Linked DNA regions of Sus scrofa. The main gene of each other region encodes a partner of the protein of the gene in region 2 in a complex. Links are inferred from orthologs where the notes say so. Each region holds a gene or a part of one and is shown on either strand. Other genes may lie near its edges.

Evidence for each region. The genes of interacting proteins can lie anywhere in the genome.
Region 1: the proteins of TCN2 (region 2) and CD320 are in contact, whole or in part, in a crystal structure (PDB 7QBF), measured with the Homo sapiens proteins. The link is inferred for Sus scrofa from reciprocal best matches to the Homo sapiens genes TCN2 and CD320. Residues at the interface, in NP_000346.2 of Homo sapiens: Asp70, Leu71, His74, Lys77, Leu78, Gln81, Gln82, Glu91, Asp92, Arg120, Gly121, His122, Lys123, Asp125, Arg126, Val128, Ser129, Lys132, Trp133, Glu136, Arg140, Lys169, Arg170, His172; in NP_057663.1 of Homo sapiens: Thr57, Lys58, Leu66, Cys67, Val68, Pro69, Trp72, Asp75, Arg76, Asp77, Leu78, Asp79, Leu133, Glu136, Cys145, Ile146, Pro147, Thr149, Trp150, Asp153, Gly154, His155, Pro156, Asp157, Cys158, Pro159.

The regions. Positions count from the first base shown.
Region 1 is NC_010444.4:70,966,371-70,973,345, reverse strand, and holds the end of CD320 (CD320 antigen), read right to left. Parts: intron 4,794-6,975; coding exon 4,668-4,793; intron 4,279-4,667; coding exon 4,054-4,278; intron 3,775-4,053; coding exon 3,640-3,774; intron 3,503-3,639; coding exon 3,363-3,502; 3' UTR 3,057-3,362; downstream 1-3,056. UniProt on the Homo sapiens protein: Receptor for transcobalamin saturated with cobalamin (TCbl). Plays an important role in cobalamin uptake. Plasma membrane protein that is expressed on follicular dendritic cells (FDC) and mediates interaction with germinal center B cells.
Region 2 is NC_010456.5:47,492,664-47,500,767, forward strand, and holds the start of TCN2 (transcobalamin-2 precursor), read left to right. Parts: upstream 1-3,581; 5' UTR 3,582-3,737; intron 3,738-8,104. UniProt on the Homo sapiens protein: Primary vitamin B12-binding and transport protein. Delivers cobalamin to cells.

The DNA.
Region 1 (6,975 bases), on a different chromosome or scaffold from region 2:
CTTCCCCCATGGAGGCAAGATGCTAAAGCCAAACTTTCCTACCTCCAGGAGGCTGGATTCTCTTCCAGCATCTTGTCATCAGGGCCTACCTTTCTGCTGGGATGTCAGAGCTCCCAGATGCTGTGTGGGACTCTGGGTGTTCCCCTGCACTGGGCTGCATGGGCCCAGCTGGTGGCAGACACCCAGTCCACTTCCAAGGATGTCAGGGAGGTTACTGCCCCACAGGGTGGTTTCCAGGGCCCTGGCCACCCCATTAGGAGATGAAGAAAACAAGGGTCAGAGAAGACCCCTGTTGTCATCCAGCAGCTAGGGTGTATGTTAACTACACTTTCTGTATTCTTTTGTGTGTGTGTGTGTCTTTTGTCTTTTTAGCGCCACACTCGTGGCATACGGAGGTTCCCACGCTAGGGGTCAAAGAGGAGCTGTAACTGTAGCTGCCAGTCTAGGCCACAGCCACGCCAACATGGGATACAAGCCGTGTCTGCAACCTACACCACAGATCATGGCAATGCCAGATCCTTAATCCACTGAGCAAGGCCAGATCAAACGTGCATCCTCATGGATGCCAGTCAGATTCGTTTCCGATGAGCCAGGATGGGAACTCCACTTTCTGTATTCTTGATGCCCTGGCATCTGAGGCCTCGCTGACCAGGGACAACCAGTCCCTCCAGGGATTAGCTAGTTCCTGGAGATGACAAACAACTCACCAGAGAGTGTGGCTCACCAATACAAACCACCCAGTCCAGAGCCACTGTATTCCTGTCCTCATCACTCCCAGGGCCAGTGCAGTGTAAGTGCCTGAAATTAAGCTCTTTTTTTTTTTTTTTTTTTTTTGGCCATACCCAGCCAAGACATGCAGAAGTTCCCAGGCCAGGGATCGAACCCTTGCCACAAGAGTGGCCCGAGCCATAGCAGTGTAAACGCCAGATCTTTAACCTGTTGAACCACAAAGGAACTCCCTGAAGTTAAGCTTTTGATTTTTGGTGTCCATGAATAAACACATCGCCAGCTGCACCACAAAGCCACTAGCAACCCAACCTACCTGGTTAGTAGGTGCCTCTACCCACGAAGGTCTCCCTTTCAGAGACCCTGGGTAACCTGGATAACTGACCCCCCTTGAGTGACACCCCACCCCCTTTCCCTGCCAGAGTCCACATTCTGCCTCTTTTCTTTCTTTTTTGTCTGCCCCTCAGCCTATGGAACTCTCCGGCCAGGGATCAGATCCCAGCTACAGCTACGACCCACGCTGGAGCCCTAACCCTCTGTGTGGGGCCAGGGATCGAACCCACAGCCCAGAGCTCCAGAGATGCCACCAATCCCATTGCCCCACAGGGGGAACTCCCTCATTCCTGAATTTTTGCTGCGAGTTCACCAAGAGAGTGAACTCAGGCCTCCCACCTGCGGACCCTACTAAAGACAGAGCCCCAGGCCATCTCTCTCACTACAGGATCTTGCCAGTGGCCCTAAGGCAGCGGGGAGGGGGAGACTGTCAAGTACCTTCCAGGACCTGTGAGTAACAAATCTTGTTCCTCAAAGTTCCCTGATGGCTTTTCCCAAAGTGTGACTTTAAGAACCACAAAGGGAGTTCCCGTTGTGGCGCAGTGGTTAACGAATCTGACTAGGAACCATGAGGTGGCAGGTTCGATCCCTGGCCTTGCTCAGTGGGTTAAGGATCCGGTGTTACCGTGACCTGTGGTGTAGGTTGCAGACTCGGCTTGGATCCCGTGTTGCTGTGGCTCTGTTGCTGTAGGCTGGTGGCTATAGTTCCAATTAGACCCCTAGCCTGGGAACCTCTATATGCCACGGGAGCGGCCCTAGAAAAGGCAAAAAGACAAAAAAAAAAAAAAAAAAAAAAAAAAGACCCACAAGGGCTGGGCCAGCCCCCTCACGGGCTCTGGTTAGGGAAATGTTCAGCAGGGGCCTTGCCACAAGTACGAACATAGGTGAGGGCCCCAGGCCTTGCTCTCTGATGGTGACGCTAAGATGTACACAATAGTCGGTGCCCTCGGAAATTATTCAAACTCGCCAATTGCCAGCCTGTTTACACTGCCTCACCCGTTCCTTCTGGTGGAAACAATAAAAGCTCCTGCCCACATTGTTCCCTCCTGCCTCTGCCTCCTGATTCACTCTGGTGATTTCCCATGTGGCTCCACATGGCCTGTTATGACCCCTTTACTTGGCACCTGTAACAAACTGTCTTTATTTTTTTTTTTTGTCTTTTTGCTATTTCTTTGGGCCGCTCCTGCAGCATATGGAGGTTCCCAGGCTAGGGGTCCAATCGGAGCTGTAGCCACGGGCCTACGCCAGAGCCACAGCAACGTGGGATCCGAGCCGCGTCTGCAACCTACACCACAGCTCACGGCAACGCTGGATCGTTAACCCACTGAGCAAGGGCAGGGACTGAACCCGCAACCTCATGGTTCCTAGTCGGATTTGTTAACCACTGCGCCACGACGGGAACTCCTGCAGTTCAATTCTTAACTCACTATGCCCCAGCGGGAACTCCACAAAGTGCCTTTTCAATAGCAGTCACCTGATCTGTTGACCTGAGTAACAATAAAGCCTAGTTTTTTCTTTTCTTTTCTTTTTTCTTCTTTTGGGGGGCCATGCCTGTGGCAGGCCAAGGTTCCCAGGCCAGGGATCAAACCTGTTCCACAACAGCAAGTGACAAGGCCAGATTCTTCACCACTGGGCCACCAGGGAACTCCTAATAAAACCTACAGGTGGAAACAGGGTTGAGAGCAACCTGGAACCATCTCAAAGAGAAGCCAGGAAAGAGGGGGGTCCCCCAGCCCAGGACTCTGGGAGGCACTGCCCAAGGTCTGTTCCTCTTTGCAGAAGGTTGCAGAGAATGTGGACTGACCTGCCACCCTGGCCCCACTGTCCCCTGTTCTGGATCCCAGGAAGTCAGGGGTAGAGTGGCTGAGTGGGTGCCCTGGGCTGGGTCCCAGACTCCCACGCTGTATAGGCTACATGCTCCCTTACAGAGGAGGGGCTGCAGCAGAGCCCCCAGGCTGCCCAGAGGCAGAAGGAAACAGAGGCCCAGAGGCAGGACAGAGGATGTGAAAGCAACTTTAATCACCACCCTCAGGCAGGGGCTGCAGTAGTATCTGAGCAGCGGGGTTACCCTGGGAGTGACCTGGGGCCAGCCCCTCGGTTCCAGCTCTGGCACGTTTCCCATCCAGGTTCCTGGCATCCAGGGGAGGGTCCCAGCCTCCAGGGCCCCATCTTCAGGAGCTCAGGTACTCAGTGCTGCTGTGTAGAAGAATCCAGGTCTGGGGGCTACTGTGCCCACAGTCATGTGCATGTCCCCATACCTGCCATACTCAGGGACCATGCGATGTGACAGCAATGGCTCATCCTCAGAGCACCGAGGCCGTCTTCTCTGACTGCAGAGACCCCTTTAGGGCCACCAGCAGCCCCAGCGGGGACAGGCGTCCCTGGGCACAGAATCGTGACAACACGAAGAAGATGGTGATGGCCAGACCTACACTGAGCACCACTGTGGGGGATAGAGACAGGAGTGGGTAAGGGGGTGGCAGGAGATCCCACACCCACCAGGATCCTAACACCCTGCAAAGGGGGGTCTGCAGCCTGTCTGCTCCCAGCCCCAGGCGTGGGACGGCCTGTTCATCTTACCAGCAGCTGCGATAACCCCATAAGCACTTCGGTTTCCAGACTGAACTGAGTCCTGGTCGTCGACAGAGGTGACTGTGGCATTGCCCACAGGGGTTCCCATGGACGTGGCACCCCCTTCCTGGACAGTCTTGGTTCCTGCAAGAAGTCCAGGCATTCAGTAGCTGGGGAGGGGGCACCTGGGGCGGGGAAGGATGAAGGATGGTCCCAGTGCCAGGGGTGTCCTTGTGGCTCCCCTCCATCCCAGACTGAGTGAGGCTGCTCAGCACTGCTGCTGGAGTACCCTCGTGCAGCCCCCCGGGCAGACCCACGTGTCCACACCCTCAGCCTCATCATATACACCTCATCATATACAAGGTGAGGTGTCAGGCATCCTTGTCTACCCACCAACCCTTGCCACCCCCCACTAGCACACACCACAGCCAAGCTCATCGCTGTAGTCCGAACAGTCTGGGTGACCATCACAGAGCCACGTGATTGGGATACAGGAATTCTCCGGCAGGCAGTAAACCTCCCCCTCCTGGCAGGGCTGGTGCCGGCAGTTCTCATTAACACCTTCAGGGCAGTCATGGATGCTGTCACAAGGGCAGGGTCTGCCAATGGGTGGCGGGCACTGCCCATCCTGGGTGCATGGCTCAATACCTGGGGTACAAAGTCAGTCAGGTCCCAAACACCCACCCAAGAGGGCCCAGGTACTCCCCAACGCCCAGCCCCTGTAAGCCCCACCTTCCAAAAGCAATTGACCATATAAGGCCCACCCCTCCTACAGGCCCCACCCCATGCTTCTATTAGCTCCACCTTCCAAGGACTCACCTCCTGGCAAGCCCTTCCTCCCAAGACGGCACTAACTCCACCTAACTACAAACCCACTCCTTAACCCAAAGACCCAGACCAGTGTCCTTGCAGGCCTCCCCGCCACTCTCAGGCCCAATTCAGCGAGCCCAGCCCCAAAGCCACACCCCTCCTACAAGCATCTCCTCCATATGGCCCCTCCCCCATTGCAAGCCCTGCCCCCAGGCTGTGGCCCTCACCGCATTCCACCTCATCACTGCCATCAGGGCAATCCTTGTCAACATCGCAGCGCCATTTGAGGGGCACACAGAGACCACTGGTCCGGCACTGGAAATTGGTGGGCGCGCACGAGCCTGCACTGGGGCCTAAGAGATGCACACAGGTGAGGCCTGGGAGGTCTGGAGCACATTGGGATGTACACTGGTGGTCACCCTCTGCTAAGTATGTACTGGGTGTCAGGCCTGAACAGTTCGCAGCCTCGCCAAGAGCCTGACTGAGGAGATTCTACTGCCATGGCCCTTCTACAGAAGATGCTTAGAGATGTGAGGCCCGAGGCTATAAGCTAGTGGCAGAGTCAGGGTTCAAACCCTGGTCTCAATGACCCCAGAGTCTTTACCTGGTTCCACATGGCCAGATGGTCTCCCTAGGAGTCTTTTCAAGCTCCACGGTTAAACAGACTGGGGAAGGGGCCTACGCAGGCCCACGGTCAGGGTCAGAAGGGCCCATTATGTGCCAGCTGCTCACCAAAGGGGGAAACTGTGGCCTTAGATAGAGGACCTGCTTAGTCACCTCTAACTTCCTCCCAAACCTGGCCACTTTCCCCCATCCCGAATGTGCCCCCTCCTCCCCAGATTCCCCACCCCCATCTCCATGCAGACACCAGAGACCTCTCAGAGTCCCACCATTCGGTCACTAATCCCTTGCTTCCCCTTTGCTCAAAACTGTCCCTTGGTCCCCTGACCTTCTCACAACCAAATCTTCCATCCTTTGTGTCACTTGCAACACCTGGCCAGCCTTGAACCCTTCCTGGATCTCGCCTCCTCCCACGTTCCTCCTCCTCATCAAGCTCCCTCTGACCTGGCCTCCTTGCTGCCTCTGTAAGGGGCCTGGTTTGTTTCCACCAGAATTTTCCCCCATGCTATTCCTGGGTCCAGTACCCCCTTTCCTCCCTCTTCCCTGCACCTTATGATTTCCTCCTCAGATTTCACGTCTCAGCTTATTTCCTGGGAGGGGTCTCACGCTTCAGACCCCTGTAGCTTGGCCTCCCACTTAGAACAATGGTCCTTGAACTGGTACCCTTGTAGACGGGACACTTAGTGGTGGTCAGGGCCATGACTTTTGACGGTAAGCCTGGGGCCATGTCTAATGATAAGTGGACACAGATCACACAACAGTCTGGGCTGAGTCCAGCTGACACCCGAGCCTTCCTGGACACCCAGCAGAAGGAGCACAGAAGGGCCTGGAAGCTGGGCCAGCAGCCGAGAGTCTGAGGGACAGAGGAAGGGAGTGGCTTTTATGGCTTCCCCCTGGGTACAACAGGGTGGGTGGCAGAAAACTGGCATGGACCCAGCCTAGCCCCCCTCCATTTGATCCTGGTCATTTGACCCTTCAACCTTTTTTTTTTTCCCATTTTTTAGAGCCACACCCACAGCACATGGAAGTTCCCAGGCTAGGGGTCAAGTTGGAGCTACAACTACTGGCCTACACCACAACCACAGCAATGCAGGATCCAAGCCACATCTGCAACCTACACAGCAGCTTGAGGCAACGCCAGTTCCTTAACCTTCTGTGCGAGGCCAGGGATTGAACCAGAGTCCTCATAGGTACTAACCTGCTGAGCCACAACAGGAACTCTGACCCTTCCACCTTTACTCATGGGGGCCTGTGTCTCCAAGCCCCCCGCCCCTCACAGCCAGCCCTTCTGCAGGCCAGCCTCCAGGCCTTACTGTACCTGTGGGCCACACAGGCCCTGAGCTCTGTGGAGTGACCTGGAGCCGACTTCCTTCCCTGCCCATGGGAGTCTGGCAGCCTATGGGTGCAGGCAGCTTCCTTGCCAGGCCTAGCCACTCCGCGTGGCAACCCCTGACCTCCTTCCCTGACCTGCTGGACTGTGTGTCCATCTGTAAATCAGGAAGCAGAGCAGACCCGACCGCATGGGAATGCAGTTTGGAGCAAGGAGGGATTGGCCCTCCCAGCCTCAGTTTCCTCACCTGTAAAAGGGGCATGCTAGGAGTCCCTACCTCAGCACGCTGAAGAGAAGACACTGCTTGTGTGTAGAGTTTGGTACTTGGTTAATATGAGTCCTGATCATTGAAAGAATCAGGAACATTTAGCCTCAGATGGGAGCTTTGGACTGAGATAGAGAACCAGAAAAGATAGGATCCCATGGAGAAGCGGGTGTGTGAATCTGAGTTCACAGATGAAAATCAGGGGCACATGTGAGCACAGGGTGGTCACATTAACCTGCCCGGTTGCCTCTGGGAATCTCCGAGAGGGCGACCAACTTAAGCCAGGGTGAACGTGCCAAAGACCTGGGGTCGCAGGGAG
Region 2 (8,104 bases):
CGAAACTAAAACAAGGCCAGGCCAGAAAGAGGAGGGATATTGGAATCCCAGACAGAGTTTGTAGCAATACATGTAAGAGAGGGATGTGGCTGAGTTTTCACTGTGTAACATGCTGTCCAGGCGACCCAAATTCCCCTCTTCTTTCTAACCTCACCTGAAGTCGGCCAGGCTGAGTTGCAGCTTCTTCCGGGCTTTGTTGCGGGTGATGTAGTTGGTAGCAGAGCCTCGTTCATACTTGGGGAGGAAAAAAATCAATTCTCCATTAGCAATGACTGCAGTGACTGACAGCAATCTCTGGACACGCCTCTTGCAAGAGGCAACTAGTACTCTGGATAAGAGGCCGAGGGGCTGTGGGGAGGGAGTGCTTCTCCACTGAGCAAGTGGCCCTGTACTGGTCTTGCAGTTGTCAGCACACAGGAGGACACGTACATCTGCATGACGCAGGGGTCAGGTGCTATGCCAAGCACTTAGGAGTAGGTCTAAGTACTGACCATTATGATTACTGATTTGCTCCTATTATTTCATTTAATTCCCACAACACTGTGAGGTGGTTTCCATTAAGATTCCCATTTCACCAGGAAGGAAAGAGGCTCAGTAAAATAACCTGCCCAGGTCATATATCTTTTTAAAAGCCGGGGCTGGGTTCAGACCTAGGTCCAAGTCCAGAACCTGAGCACCTCACTCACTAAGCCAATGTTCTCAACTTCTATTCCATTATAACCACCGCTCCACCACCAGAGGCCTTTTAGAACTTCCCCTCTTTAATCACCCTCTCACACAGCCCTCTGAAATGTTAATTATCCCAGATATATGGTAGATCTATTTATGTAATGCAGTCCTATAAAGGGCCACAAATCACTGTAATATCTAAGACACCTCCCAACCAATTTTTGTTCCTTGGGGATGACACCATCTGGTTGAAAATGCACTTGAAGCCATAGAGCCTCTCTCCTTCCCCATTCATTCACTTATTCACTCATTCACAGACATTAAGACCTCTACTATGGGGAGTTCCCGTCGTGGCTCAGTGGTTAACGAATCTGACTAGGAACCATGAGGTTGCAGGTTTGATCCCTGGCCTTGCTCAATGGGTCAAGGATCTGGCATTGCCATGAGCTGTGGTGCAGGTTGCAGACGCGGCTCGGATCCTGCGTTGCTGTGCCTGTGGCATAGGCCGGCGGCTATAGCTCCGATTGGACCCTAGCCTGGGAACCTCCATATGCTGCGGGAGCAGCCCTAGAAAAGGAAAAAAAAAAACAAAAACAAAAAAATCAACAAACAAAACCCCAAAAAACCTCTACTATGTTCCAAGCATTTAGCTAGAGGTATGTGGGTAATAAAGTCAAATGGTCTATCTTCTACCTGCCCCCAAGAAGCATGATGCAACCATGTGGTTGTCTGTAATGCTGAGATGCTGCCTTATACTCACATCCCTGTAGCCCTGACAGAGCAACAGTGCACTGGGCCAGGTGCCCTGCAATGCAAAGCAAGAACATCTTTTCCAAATAAGCTCTTCCTCTGGACTAAGAGATCATAGGCCTTGATGGCCAGGTCCAGCTCTAAAGGGATAAACCCGTAGCCTCCTGAGGGGTACGTTTACGAATAACCCCAGAGTCACCAAACACACCCCGCATGCATTTTATTATTAATAAAGTTATCAATTGTTTATTGGGGATCAGGCCCATGCCAAGTCCCAGGGCAATACAAAGATGAGTTTCAGACTGTTTTAGGGAAGTTGCTTTTGTTAAAACTGTTTTCCATTACCCTATGCCACACTGTCACCATTCTTACCCTTTCAAACATTAAGAGGACACTCAAGGAGTTCCCATCATAGCTCAGTGGTTAACAAATCCAACTAGTAACCATGAGGTTGTGAGTTCGATCCCTGGCCTTGCTCAGTGGGTTACAGATCCAGTGTTGCTGTGAGCTGTGGTGCAGGTCACAGACACAGCTCAGATGCCACATTGCTATGCCTGTGGTATAGGTGGCAGCTGTAGCTCCAATTAGACCCCTAGCCTGGGAACCTCCATATGCCACAGGTGTGGCCCTAAAAAGACAAAAAAAAAAAAGAGAATACTCAAAGTTAACTGGGGTGACTTTACTCTCTGGGTGTATTGGGGGTGGATTCAGTATTTGGTGTTGTTGGGTACTACTGGCACCTAGTGGATGAACGGTCAGGAATGCTGCTGAACATCCTACAACACACTAGACAACCCTCCCCACAACAACACAACTAAGTTATGTGGCTCAAAATGTCAAAATGGTTGTGAAATCCCCACTTTAAAAACTGCCATGATTTGTTTACATATTTGCAACTGTTTCTCAAGATGAGATTTTCTCCCTCATATTTTTGTAGTTCCAATGGCTAGCACATAATGAGTGCTGGGTTAAAAACAAATCAGCATTGGAAACTTTCAAGATGAAGAAACATCATCCCCATCCTCATCCCCTCCTCTCCATGCCACCAATGTGATTTTCCATACAGCAACAAAAACAATTCTTTGAAAAATCGATGTCATTCCCCTTTTAGTTGATTCTTACTGCACAGCAAATAAAATCCAATCTCTTCACTGTGAATAACACGGTTTCTGTCCAACCCCAACTACATTAGATGCCATTCTTCCCTTGGTTTACTATACCCCAACTGTCCTGATATCCCTCCCATTCGGTACACACGGCAAGCCTTTTCTACCTAAGGGCCTTGGCACTTAGTTTCCTCTGTCAGGCTTGTTTGTGACCGTTTTCTTTGGTTATTTACTTTAGTGGCTACCTTCCCTACTAGAAAGTGAGCTTGGGAAATGTAGGGACTACATCTGGTTATGCCTCATCCCCAACGTCCAGAAAAAGGCCTGATTCAACAGAAAAGGGAGTAACAAGTTTTTAAAATGATAAACTCAACATAGTGATGAGCTCTGCGCTATGTTCATCACTTTTTCAGTAAACAGTTGTCCTCCGGTTCGGCCTGCTCTGGGATGCATCTTTACTTGGTAACCTCAGCTCTCTTTCACAGCTCTACTGCAGGCTTCTTTCCCGGATTTCACCGAACGAGTAATGCTGTCCTCGCCCATCCTCGGACCCTTTCTGGCTGCTGTCTTCTACCGCGTTGATCAGCCACCTCTGCACCCACAAGGGGCCAAGGCCGGGGAAAGGCGCAGTTCCCGGGCTATATCGCTCCCGTCTCCTACCTCCTGGGTCACCCCTGTGTCCCCACCCCTGCTTCTCGCACATCACCTTCTTCTTCTCCAGGCCGCCCATGGCTCCACGCTGAAAGGTCTACCAGTGCCGAGCGGACAGGTAGCGCCACTTCCTCCCGCATGTGCGCGGTACAGGGCCCCGAGGCCCTCCACGCCGCCTGCCTGTGAGGGCTGCCCAAGGAAGTGCCTGAGCAAGTCTAGGGAAAAAAGGGACTTTTCTCTTTTATATTTACAACTAAACTCCATGAAAAAAATCACTAAGACCGCTCTTCTGGATCTTTCCCATTTATTGCCTAATACAGACATATTTAATGTTTGATTGAAGGCGGATATTCAGGCATTTCTATAGTCATCCTGATGACGAACGCTTGCCGTTTCAGCCCCGTTGCATTTTGGGATGGAAGGCGGCGGAAGGCCTAGAGGCAGCGCAGCGCCTTCTGGGATGCATAGGGGAGTCTCTCTTCTGGGAGCAGCGGCAAGAATTGCGTTGTCATAGTAACAGTAGGCGTCGAAACTTGTCTTGCCTGAGAAGCCACCTCGGAGGTAAGTGGAGCGACTTTCGCTTCTCCTGTGGCCATTGGTTTTTCCTTTGGTTAGTTCGCTATTATCGGTGTAAATAAAGCAAAAGCAAACTTTTTCCTCTCAGAGGTAGAGAGACCCAAGAGGCCACTTAAACTTTCTGAGCCTTAGGAGAGAGTTGAAAAATGACGAAAGCACAGTTGGAACTGGTGCTATATTTTAAATGTACATTTAACATGTTTTAGTTTTTAATATGTATATACAAATTCCGTATTGTGTTCTTTAAAGGGTAATTACAAGATTTATACAAATATTCACACGAGTGTGATGTGGTCTGGGGAGTAGATGAAATTTGCAAAGTTAGATGTTTTCTTCCTTCAGGCCGCTAAACTCCATTTGGAGATTGCCTCAAAATTTTAAATTTGAAGAGTTCCCATTGTGGCGCAGCGGAAACGAATCCTAGTAGTATCCATGAGGATGCGGTTTCGATCCTGGACTCGCTCAGTGGGTCAGGGATCCAGCGTTGCGTCATGCTGTGGTGTAGGTCGCAGACCCGGCTCGGATCCTGCATTGCTGTGGCTGTGGTGTAGGCGGGCAGATGTGGCTCGATTCTTTCCCCAGCTGGGGAACTTCCATATGCAGCACATACAGCCCTAAAATGCAAAAAATAAAAAAATTAAAATTTGAGGCCCTTGTGAATGTGACCTGACCTAAAGTCATGGTCATTAACTCACCCTTTAGAGGTAAATACAGATATCAAGCACTGACCAATACTTGTTTTGAAAAATGTGTGTTTTATTATGTACTTTCCATGATAGCTAAAATAAAAACTTAATGATTCAGAGTTCCCTCTGGCGCATTGGGAGGCTGGGATGCAGGTTTGATCCCCAGCCCGTCATGGTGGGTTGAGGCTTCCGAGTCGCTGCAGTTGCAGCATAGGTCTCAACTGCAGCTTGGATCACTGATCCCTGGCCGGGAACTCCACAAACCATAGGGTGGCCAAAAAAAAAAAAAAAAAGAAAAGAAAAAAAGCCTAGTGCCTCTACAAACAACGAAAAATGAAATATAATGAAAAATGGGTAGGGGAAGGTGAGCTAGCAAAGACTTTGAAGGAACTTGACAGAGCGGTGTGAGGAAAAGCAGGGTCATGTGGTTCTCACAGCAAAAGACTAAGGTGTGTTTCAGAAAGGCTCTGAGAACAAAAGGAATGGGGCTGGCAAAGAGAAAGGAGAAAGAGACTGTCCAGGCCAGAGGCAAAAGTTTGGGGCATTTGGGAGCATGTAGGGTGTGACTGTGTAGGAGGAGAAGGATGGACCTGAGAGGACAGTAGTGGCTCGTTAATCAAAGGAACACAGGAGCAAGGCCACTGTCATGGGTGTGTGATCCTGGCAGTGGCCATGGCCCTGTGCTTGAGCCAACGCTGATTCTTAACAATATTTTAACAAGGCACCCTGCACTTGCAAATCATGTAGCTGGTCTACACAGGAAGGGCCTGTTTTGCTCACATTGATTTCGAGGGGGGGTCAGTGGAAAGACACAGATGGAGGTGTCTAGAAAAGAAATTGTACATTGGGTCTGGAGTTCAAAATAGGTACTAGATTTTACAGATGAGGAAACTGAGGTTCTGGGAAGGGAAGGGACTCATCCCAAGGTCACTCAGCTGCTAAGTAGTGGAAAATGGACTTTCACTAGGCAGCCTCGTTGCAGAGCCCAATGTTGAAATCACATGTCACTGCCTAATGAGTTGTGGACAGAGCTGGGCACCCAACACCAACAGTTAGTTTCCTTCTTTCTGTCCTGTGGAAACTGCTGTGTGACTCTAGAAACATGTGAAGCACATTTTAGCTTTATAATGGGAAGAGATTTTTAGCTATTAGAGCCATCCACTCCTGGAACGCTTTGTGAACCTCCATCACCATCATGGTAAAGAGCCCAGGCTCTGCAGGCAGACACACCTGGCTTTACTTCCAAGCTATAGGCAAGCCACTTTACCTCGCAGTACTTCTCTTCCTCATTTGTAAAATGTGAACAAGACCGACTGCTTATAGCAGTTGGCAATTTAAATATTTTATTTTATTTTATTTGGCCTCACCCATGGCATATAGAAGTTCCTGGGCTAGGGATCAAATCCAAGCTGAAGCTGCAACCTATGCCACAGCTGTGGCAACACTAGATCCTTACCCACTGTGTCACAGTGGGAATGCCTACATTTTTAATTAAGAAAATGGATATTCCATATACATCCACACAGTTGTATTTGTTATATTCATCCTTCAATGCCACCTTCGTGCATGCAATTTTTTTCCCCTTCACTGTTGTTTTTTGAAAATTGAAGTATAGTTGATATACAATATTATGGGAGTTTTAGGTGTATAGCATAGTGATTCATAGGTTTTTTTTTTTTTTTTTTTTTGCTGTGCTTTGGCAGTAGAAGTTTCTGGGCCAGGGGTTGAATCTGTGCCACAGCAACAACCTGAGCCACAGCAGTGATAATGCCAGATCCTTAAGTTCTAGACCACCAGGGAACTCCACGATTCATAATTGTTAAAGGTTATTTTCCATTTATAGTTCTTATAAAATATTAGCTATATTCCCTGCATTATTCAATATATTCTCATTCATGCATATAATTTTTTTCCCCTGTTGGATTCTTTGTTACGCTGTGTCCTAGCCCAATCATCATAACACCACGAGGAATAAATCTTTTTTTTTTTTGCTTCTTAGGGCCACACCCATCGCATATGGGAGTTCCCAGGCTAGGGGACGAATCAGAGCTACAGCTGCCAGCCTATACCACAGCCACAGCAATGGGGCATCTGACCTGTGTCTGTGACCTACCTAACAACTCACAGCAATGCCAGATCCTTGATCCTGACCCACTCAGTGAGGCCAGGGATTGAACCCTCTGCCTCATGGATACTAGTTGGGTTCATTTCCGCTGTGCCACAGCAGGACTCCCAGGAATAAATCTTTAGTCAGCTTAGTTGACCACTGCAGTGAGGGAGAGGAACTGTGAGGGTCTGACCCAGGAAAAGTCAGGATTATTACATCACATAGATGAAGTTTGGTGAGATGTAAAACCAAGCAGTATTATGCATAGGCTCAACACAACACAGGGATGCATGAGAAAGGTCAGCTTCAGGTTTGGACAGCAAATATCCTGTTTCCTTGTAAAACTACAAAGTTGAGATAGACATGGAATGTTGAGTCCAGAAATTCCATACCAGAGCTGACTTGGCTCTTCCAGGAATGTTTGTTTCTTTCCCCTGTCCTCCCTTCCTCTCTTCCTATTCTTTCTTTTCCTTTTTTTTTTTCTTTTCTTTTTAGGGCCGCACCTACAGCATATTGAAGTTCCCAGGCTAGGGCTACAATTGGAGCTGTAGCTGCTGGCCTACACCACAGCCACAGCAATGCAGGATCTGAGCTGTGTCTTCAACCTACACCACAGCTCATGGCAACGCCATGATCCTTAACCTACTGAGTGAGGCCAGGGATGGAAACTGTGTCCTCATGAATACTAGTCAGGTTCATTATTGCTGAGCTTCAGTGGGAACTCCAGGAATGTTTTTTTCTTACTAACATGATTTCAAACAGCAAATTTCTGATAGTTTGTTATATTAGAGGGAAAAAAGAATCCCAGTAAAAAAAAAAAAAACAGCCACTCAAACAACATGGTTACTGGGACACTTCATAACTGTAAGATGACCTTGGGAGAAATAGTGTTTCCTGTTTACATTGCCACTGGCTTTATCTGTGCCTTTCCTGATGCATGAACAGAGGAACTTTTACCTGCTCATGCCAAGCTAACATTTACTTTCCCAGCCATAGACCCCCAAATAGAAGTCCTGAACCAAATGATTTAGCCATTTTTCTTTTACTTCCCCTAACCCATTACCTAAAACAGTACAGCTCCACCCCTGATCACTCACTCTGTTTCTAATAGCTGTGGAAAACATGTCTTCTCCCCACTGGTCACTGCAGTATCTTTGAGTCCTTAGGGATCAGAGGTGACTCTACCAAGGAAGCTGCTTCTCATCAGGGACTGCCATCCTGGGGATGGTAGGAAACAGAATCATTGCCATCCACCATAGGCAGAGGACTAGGGGGCAGGCATAGTCCTGTCCCAGACCAAGGCAGCTCCATTGCCCATAAGTTTCCAAGGCCCCCCAGGAGATCTGAACCTGAGGATCCACGGAAGAAGCTGGGCCTCAGCTGGACTCCCTCCTTTCCCAGAATGTCATCCTGATGGGCCATACTCAGCCTTCTTGCACTCGACAGTCTAATTTTATAAAGTACTTCTGTAAACAGATGCACTTCTCTGTATTTAGTTATGTCAAAAGATTGGCTTGTGATAAATCAGGCACAAAACTAGATCATCTTGAAAGAATGAA